Linked DNA regions of Mus musculus: region 1 is reported to be linked to region 2. Evidence: microRNA targets listed by miRTarBase, many of them from high-throughput screens and not tested one by one. Region 2 holds a microRNA gene; the other region holds the end of a gene's coding sequence.

What was found. Region 2 holds the annotated microRNA mmu-miR-466e-5p (GAUGUGUGUGUACAUGUACAUA, at 2,771-2,792, shown strand). A microRNA usually pairs through its seed, bases 2 to 8, with sites in the 3' UTR of a target mRNA and lowers its output. Matches are read on the target gene's strand: a 7mer-m8 pairs with bases 2 to 8, a 7mer-A1 pairs with bases 2 to 7 and ends in A, and an 8mer does both.
Region 1: the mRNA of Sh2d2a is a reported target of mmu-miR-466e-5p. Seed matches in the 3' UTR shown: 7mer-m8 at 3,575-3,581, 7mer-m8 at 3,195-3,201, 7mer-m8 at 1,504-1,510, 8mer at 1,481-1,488, 7mer-m8 at 1,460-1,466, 7mer-m8 at 1,440-1,446 and 4 more.

Annotation. Positions count from the first base shown.
Region 1 is chr3:87,851,787-87,856,191 of GRCm38, reverse strand. It overlaps Sh2d2a (SH2 domain containing 2A), which reads right to left. Exons shown (of 7, transcript NM_021309.3): 6 at 4,317-4,405; 7 at 470-4,125. The coding sequence ends at 3,784. Among named protein-coding and RNA genes, the nearest start is that of Sh2d2a, 7.2 kb to the right of the region's middle.
Region 2 is chr2:10,476,329-10,480,733 of GRCm38, forward strand. It overlaps Mir466e (microRNA 466e), which reads left to right and starts at 2,760; the gene lies at 2,760-2,843. The region is part of intron 10 of Sfmbt2 (Scm-like with four mbt domains 2); the gene reads left to right. It overlaps Mir466b-8 (microRNA 466b-8), which reads left to right and starts at 300; the gene lies at 300-385. It overlaps Mir669a-1 (microRNA 669a-1), which reads left to right and starts at 525; the gene lies at 525-621. It also overlaps Mir669g, Mir669j, Mir467a-2, Mir669a-4 and Mir467a-1.

The DNA of each region.
Region 1 (4,405 bases), not on the chromosome of region 2:
CAGGCAGGCACAAGGGACAATACTGAAACTTTCTGCTGTATTCCCCCAAGGAGCAGGGAATGGCAGTCGTGAGGATCAGTCACTGGCGAAAGGTTGGGTCTGGAGGACAGCTGGATCTACAGTGCGAACAGTCTGACTGTTGGCAGATGTGAGAGCAGGCTGGGCCAGAGTGCCTGGGCCGGGAAGAAGAAGTGCTATCTTAGTTTCTCTTCCTGTTGATGGGATAAAATATTCTGACAAAAGCATCAGCTGGGAGAGAGGGTTTTTATTTTTTGTTTTTTTCCTAGCTCACACTTTAAGCATGTCACGGCAGGGAAGTCAAGGCAACAGGAGAGTGTCTCAGGGTTTTACTGCAGTGAACAGATACCATGACCAAGGCAACTCTTACAAAGACAACATTTTATTGGGGCTGACTTACAGGTTCAGAGGGCCAGTCCATTATTTTCGTTTGTTTTGTTTTTTTGTTTTTGAGACAGGACACAAAAAGCACATGTTACCTTAAATGAGCTGTAGTAAATCGGGGTAACAGCTGTGTGGGGAGCTACACAGAGAGAGAAACAGTGGCAAAGGCTACCTCCAGAGACTCGGGTGACTCTGGAGCCAGTAGGGCCATGCATGGCCAGCCTCAGAAAACCTCCAGTGAGATGAAAGTGGGACCTAGCACAGACTGCTCCCGGGCTAGGACTCTAGAGGAGTTTAGCTCTAGGGCAGGAAGCCAGTCCTGAAGTGAGTCTGGGCAGAGAAGGGAGAAAGGCCCATAGAATGGGGCAGGGAGGGGGATGGGCTCCTGAGTGAGGTAAGGACTTAAGCTGCCTCCTCTGAGGGCTCACAGATTGCTAAGGCACCCTTCTCCCAAGTCCTGAGTTGCCCATCTCTATAGGCACCCACTCCTGTGCCCGGGCTGCCCACCCAGCCTACCCCAGCTAAGGGAGAAGCACTTGGCAAAGGGAGTCCGTGTCCTTGTCCTCATGGTTTTTAACTTTCAGCCAAAAGATCAATAACTTTGCCTAAGTGTCTTTGAACCTCTAGACCCCTATGAGCGACAGTGGGAGAGAGAAAAGGGCTGGGGAGGAGCTGGAAGGACAGAGATTCCCGAGGAGGGAGATTGTTGCTAATGATTTATTAGCCAGACAAGGACCAACAAACAAATCCTAACATCTGTTCTCACCAAAACATTTCTCAGACAACAGCAGCCATTGGATCGGGGCCCAGATGCGAAGGCTCAGAGTGCCAAGGCTTCCTAAAGTCCAGTTTCTTCAGGAGGAAAAACCAGGGCACAGGAGGCAGGATGGCTTCCCTAGTACATACAGTTCCTTGCCTTGGTTCCTGGTGACTTTCAGAAGGGAGCAGTGTGAGTGTCTGTGTGTGTGTGTGTATGCAAGTATGCATGTGTGTGTGTATGTGTTTATGTGTGTGTATGCATGTATGTGTGTATGTGCATGTGTGTGTGTATGCAAGCATGTGTGTGTATTCGTGTGTGTATGTGTGTGTGTGTATGCATGCATGTGTGTGTGTGTGTGTGTGTGTGTGTGTGTGTGTGTGTGTGTGTGTGTGGTGTGTGTGTTGCTATGAGGAAGCACAGATCCCACATTTGGTCCTCTGACTTCCAGGCTGCTTTGGAGCAAGGAAGGCAGACTTGTTAAGGGGACAGGGAAAGGTGGAGTGCAGGGAGGTCCCAGTGCAGAACTCTGGAGAGCAACCAGCTTCTTAGCTGAGGAAATCTCTCTGTCCCTTGTGGAGAAGTGAGGATTCAGAGGACGGATGGGGAATGCTGAGAGGGGTTTCAATCCTTGACCTTGGCCCAGGCTTTCTCCTTCTCTGGCTTGTTTCTTGATTTGCATAATGAGAGGACTGGACTTAATTGATAGGAGAGAAAGAAACGCTGCTCACCCTTCCCGCACCCACAGCAGACGCCACTCATCCGTCACCTGCTCCTTTCTGCTGAGCTTAGATCTGACCTTAATATCCTTCCAATGCTGCATGCCAGGCAGCCGAGACCAATGGATTGGAGCTGGCACGCGGGGTGACACCTCCTCGCCATCCGTGTAGCAGATGAAGCTCTGCTCACCTGTAGTCTATCCCACCTGCCTTCCCTAAGAGAGGACCCAGGGGTCTGTGAAGGTCTCAGGACACAAAATGCCCCAAGCTACCCTCCCAGATCAGACTTACCCCTAATAAGGCCTGATGGGGAGCCATGAGTGCTCTCTGTCTAGAAAGGGCAAGCCTCTAGGGCCAGGGGGGCTCATGATGAAGGACAGGGTCTTACTCTGCCACACAGTCCTCAGAATGCAGCTCTGGACCATCTGTCCTCTGCAGACAGAAGGACAGCTCTGGGTCATACCCTCTGCCTCTTTGGCAGAGCTACAGTCTCTAGGAGAAGGTATATGGTCTTAACCCTTTGGCCTCCAGAGGGGATTTAGGTTCCCGTCCATCCCTCTGCCTCTCCTCTTCTCCCTTCCCCCTCCCTCCCTGAGGCAGTTGCTTCATGCCAAGCACTGGGCCAGTACTTTAGAGATAGCTGAGCATCCCCCAGGGCTGCCTCTAGTGAATCAGGCTCTGCAGGAAGGGGAGATAGAAGAAAAAAAGAGCAATGGGAGTCTGGGCTGAGCAGGGGCCTGGCAAGGGTGTGTTGGGAGGTCAGGCCAGGGAAGGCTTTGCAAGGGGAAGGGCTTGTGGTCTTGAGTGGGGTTAAGGGTTGCCAGGCAGCAGGAGGGCGGTCTTGTAGGGATTGCTGTGGGCAGGACTGACTTGGTAGCCTTTGGTGAGTTTGGAGAAATATGGTGTGGGTGCTTGAAGTGGGGCTGACGAAGTGGGACCTCGCCTCAGTATGGAAGAGCTGGAGGACCAGGCAGCTGACTCACAGAGCCCATTTTGGCTTCCTCGGGGAAGAACAGGTCAGAGCTGACAAGCCTGGTACTAGGAAGGCAGTTAAGCCACTCAGTGAAATCATGGTGTGGCTCAGACATAGAGTGCTTGTCTAGCACGTACCAAGCCCCAAGTTTGATCCCACATACTGTAGGAGCACACAGTGGTAATTCCAGAACTTGGGAGGTAGAGGCAACTGACATTATTGACAGACAGAGACTGAAGCAAAGGGGATGGAGATGTTTAGGGACCCCACATTTCTGGCTGGATAGCTGGGTGCTGGGGGTTAATCAATCAGGGTGTGGAACACAGGACACTGTGCGTGGTGCATGTGTGTGTGTGTGTGTGCGCGCGCGCGCTCATGCGCGCGCCCACACAGGGTGCGAGTGAGGTTGGTTCAATTGATGTTGGAGTGGCTTTGGAACCCTGGCAGAGCCTGGATGGACCCAGGGTTAAGAAGGCTGGTAGGGTACAGGTGAGCTGGGCTGGTGAGGGCCAAGCAGGGACCTTTGGTGGCAGCAGAGAGGAAGCCTGAAGTAGGACCTGACGCAGGTACAAGGGAAAGAGTCTGACTCCTTTAATAGTAATACCACATTCAGACATGACTGAAACTCTGTGGGGAAACTGTGAGGGTGAGCACACAGTGTGGCAGCCTCCTCCTCTGAGCCCACTGGCAGTGACGCTCTCCAGGGAGCTGGGTCAGTGTCACATGTGTGTGAGGAAGGCCTGACCAATGAGAGGCAGCCTGGGATGGAGAGTGGTTGAAGGAAACCTGAAGTAGGGGCAGGTAGGGCTTGACAAAGCTGAGTCCACGTGAATGTCCAGGAAGAGCCTTAGGCCTGGAGCTGGGCAAAGGTTTTCGGCAGCGTGGAACACTCCATCTCGCTTCAGCCTGCTGACCTTCACCTTGCCCGATATTCAGGAGGGGCTCCCTCTTTCTGCTCGACTCCTTGAGCTTATCTTTCCCTGTACCTCCCTTACCTGGCCTCTTGAGATAGGCCTGGACCAGCACTTTCGGAGGATGGGGTGTCCAATGGGCGCCGTTCCCGATGGCCCTTCCACCTCAGCATAGATATTACTAGGAGCGTCCCCAGGGCTGCCCCGCCCCATGGCATAGAAGGCTATGGGTTCATCAGGCTCCTGGTAGATGGGGTTAATGGGTGGGGCCTGATGCAGTCGTGAAGCAGGACTTGTATAGACTTCAGGAGGAAGCTGAGGCTTGGCGGGGATGGGCGGCCTGGGTCTGGATGCCTGGGATGTCTAGGGGGAGAAGGCAAGACCAGGGAAGAAAATTAATGAGAACCGTGGAGACAGGGTCTAAGCCCAGGCCCATCTCAGCCTGAGCCTCTACCTATGACAGCCTGGCTTCTTCCTCTGTCCTGTGTCCCCTTCTCCAGGCCCTGACACCCCAACACCCCCCATCCCACAGGTTGAGTTGACCAATATAGTACCGCCTTCTGTTGGGAGGCCCATACTTTCTCTGTGTGTCCTGAGGCCTGGGCCTGGCCCTGTTGGAGGAGCAGGCTGAGCTGGGTGTCTG
Region 2 (4,405 bases):
GGCCCCTATGTACGTGCCTGTGTGCGTAAGTGCCTGCATGTATATGCGTGTATATTTTATGCATATACATACACACACCTACACACACATGCACACAGACATGCGGGAATAGCCCTCACGGTCCATTTGAATGATATGTGACCTACTGCTTTGGAGGTTATGTATGACTGGGCCAGGGTGAGGTCTCACAAACCACAGGAAACCCTTGGTAGAGTCGGGAAGATCAGGAGTGCAAGTTCGTGGTAAAGGCATGATGAGTTAGAGGTCATCCTGGCATTCATGTGATTGCCCCTATGTATGTGTGTATGTGTTGATGTGTGTGTACATGTACATATGTGAATATGATATACATATACATACACGCACACATAAGACACATATGAGCACACAGACACATGGGAATGGCACTCATCAATCCATTTGAGTGATAAGTGACTTAGAGTGAAAATGCTTGCTAGAGTTAAGAGTATCAGGAGTTCAAATTCATACTTATCCTCATGAGAGATCAGCTTGTGATTCCTCCATGTATGTGCATGTGTGTATAGTTGTGTGTGCATGTTCATGTCTATATTTGAATATACATAACATACACACACACGTATAAACGCAAGCACACATACACAGACACAGGAATGGCATTCGCCAATCCCTTTGAATGATAAGTGATGTAGAGTTTTAGAGATTATGCAATAGGGGGCATTGAATGGCCTCACTCACCAGGTGTAAAAGATTGACAAAGTCAGGAGGATAAGGATTGCAAATTCATGCTTAACTTCATTTGGAGACATCTTGGTATTAATGTCATGCAACCCATTTATGTGCATGTGTGCTTACTTGTATGTGCATTGTATGTGTTGACATGATATACATAACATAAACACACGTGTATCTGCAAGCACACACACACAGGAAAAATTGCATTCATTTATACGTTTGAATGATATGTGACTTAAAGTTTTCAAGATTATGCAGTAGTGGGACAGTGAATGGTTTTACTCACCAGGTGTGAAAGATTGTGGATCAGGAGTTCAAATGCATGCTTTACTACATGATGACTTAGAGATATGCCTGGGATTCATGTGATGCCCCCTATGTATCCCTATCTGTATCTGTTTCTATTGTGTGTGGATTTGAGTATATGGATGTACCTATCTACACAAATATATACATGTACACAGACACAAACAGAAACACACACACAAACATCAGTGCAACTCATCGATCCATTTGAATGACGTGTGACTTAGAGTTTTAAGATTCCTCAGTACTGAATGGGGAGAGGTCTCACTCAGCAGGTGAAATCCCTTGACAGAGTCAGTTGGATCAGGAGTTCAAATTCGTGCTGAATTTCATGATGAGTTCATGACCAGCATGGGATTCATCTTATGCCCACCAAAAATGTGCATGTGTGTATAGTTGTGTGCATATTCACTTCTCTATATGAATATGCATATACACACATGCACACACATTCATAGGAATGGCCAGAGCTATGTCTCAGTTAGGAGGTGAGCACTCTTGCCAGTGTCAGGAGGATGAGGAGTTCAAAATCATGTTTAACTTCATGATGAGTTAGAGTTCAGCATGCGATTCATGTGATGTCCACCAAGAATGTGCATGTGTGTATAGTTGTGTACATATTCACTTTTGTATATGAATATGCATATACTCACATGCAAACATACTCCCACGAATGGCCCGAGCTATGACTCAGTTAGGAGGTGAATACTCTTGCCAGCATCATGAGGATGAGCAGTTCAAATTCATGTTTAACTTTTTGATGAGTTAGAGATCAGCCCGGAATTCATGAGATTTTCCCTGTGTTTGTGTTTATGTGTATAGGGAAGTATGCCTGTACATGCACGTATATGAACATGCATATATATATATATATATATATATATATACATACATATATATATATATACACACACACACAACTAGGGACACATACATGTGCACACAAACACACATGGCAGTCATCCATTTGATTTATACGTGCTTAGAGTTTCATTGAGTTTATATTCATGGTATAGGGAAAAATCTCACTTATCAAATGAAAACTGTTTGCCAGAGTTAGGAGTCTCAGGAGGTCAAATTCATGCTTAACTTCATGATGAGTTAGAGATCACCCTGGATTTGTGGGATCGACCCTAGTTATGTACATTTGCATATAATTGTGTGTGCACGTACATGTGTATATATGATCATCCCTGTAAATACACACACATACAAATGTATTCACACATACAGGCATGCACACTCACACACATAAGAATGACACTCATTGATCCATTTGAATGATATATGTCTTAGAATTTTGCTGATTATAAAGTAGAGGGACAGTGAATATTCTCTCTCACCAGGTGTAAACAATTGGCAGTGTCAGGAAGATCAGGAGTTCAATTTTATGCTTAACTTCATGAGCAGTTAGAGATCATCCTGGAATAATGTGATGGCCCCTATGTATGTGCCTGTGTGCGTAAGTGCCTGCATGTATATGCGTGTATATTTTATGCATATACATACACACACCTACACACACATGCACACAGACATGCGGGAATGGCACTCACGGATCCATTTGAATGATATGTGACCTACTGCTTTGGAGGTTATGTATGACTGGGCCAGGGTGAGGTCTCACAAACCACGGGAAACCCTTGGTAGAGTCGGGAAGATCAGGAGTGCAAGTTCATGGTAAAGGCATGATGTGTTAGAGGTCATCCTGGCATTCATGTGATTGCCCCTATGTATGTGTGTATGTGTTGATGTGTGTGTACATGTACATATGTGAATATGATATACATATACATACACGCACACATAAGACACATATGAGCACACAGACACATGGGAATGGCACTCATCAATCCATTTGAGTGATAAGTGACTTAGAGTGAAAATGCTTGCTAGAGTTAAGGGTATCAGGAGTTCAAATTCATACTTATCCTCATGAGAGATCAGCCTGTGATTCCTCCATGTATGTGCATGTGTGTATAGTTGTGTGTGCATGTTCATGTCTATATTTGAATATACATAACATACACACACACGTATAAACGCAAGCACACATACACAGACACAGGAATGGCATTCGCCAATCCCTTTGAATGATAAGTGATGTAGAGTTTTAGCGATTATGCAATAGGGGACATTGAATGGTCTCACCCACCAGGTGTAAAAGATTGACAAAGTCAGGAGGATAAGGATTGCAAATTCATGCTTAATTCAGTTAGAGATCATCCTGGTATTCATGTGAGGCCACCCATGTATGTGCATGTGTGTTTACTTGTATATGCATTGCCTCTGTTGACATGATATACAAAATATAAACACACGTGTATATGCAAGTACAGACACAGAGAAAAAAATTGCATTCATTTATACGTTTGAATGATATGTGACTTAAAGTTTTAGATTATGCAGTTTGGGACAGTGAATGGTTTTACTCACCAGGTGTGAAAGATTGTGGATCAGGAGTTCAAATTCATGCTTTACTTCATGATGACTTTAAGATATGCCTGGGATTCATGTGATGCCCCTATGTATCCCTATCTGTATCTGTTTCTATTGTGTGTGGATTTGAGTATATGGATGTACCTATCTACACAAATATATACATGTACACAGACACAAACAGAAACACACACACAAACATCAGTGCAACTCATCGATCCATTTGAATGACGTGTGACTTAGAGTTTTAAGATTCCTCAGTACTGAATGGGGAGAGGTCTCACTCAGCAGGTGAAATCCCTTGACAGAGTCAGGTGGATCAGGAGTTCAAATTTGTGCTGAATTTCATGATGAGTTCATGACCAGCATGGGATTCATCTTATGCCCATCAAAAATTTGCATGTGTGTATAGTTGTGTGCATATTCACTTCTCTATATGAATATGCATATACACACATGCACACACATTCATAGGAATGGCCAGAGCTATGTCTCAGTTAGGAGGTGAGTACTCTTGCCAGTGTCAGGAGGATGAGGAATTCAAATTTATGTTTAACTTCATGATGAGTTAGAGTTCAGTATGCGATTCATGTGATGCCCACCAAGAATGTGCATGTGTGTATAGTTGTGTATATATTCACTTCTGTATATGAATATGCATATACTCACATGCAAACATATTCCCACGAATGGCCCGAGCTATGACTCAGTTAGGAGGTGAATACTCTTGCCAGCATCATGAGGATGAGTAGTTCAAATTCATGTTTAACTTTATGATGAGTTAGAGATCAGCCCGGAATTCATGTGATTTTCCCTGTGTTTGTGTTTATGTGTATAGGGAAGTATGCCTGTACATGCGCGTATATGAACATGCATATATATATATGTATATATATGTATATATGTATACACACACACACACACAACTAGGGACACATACATGTGC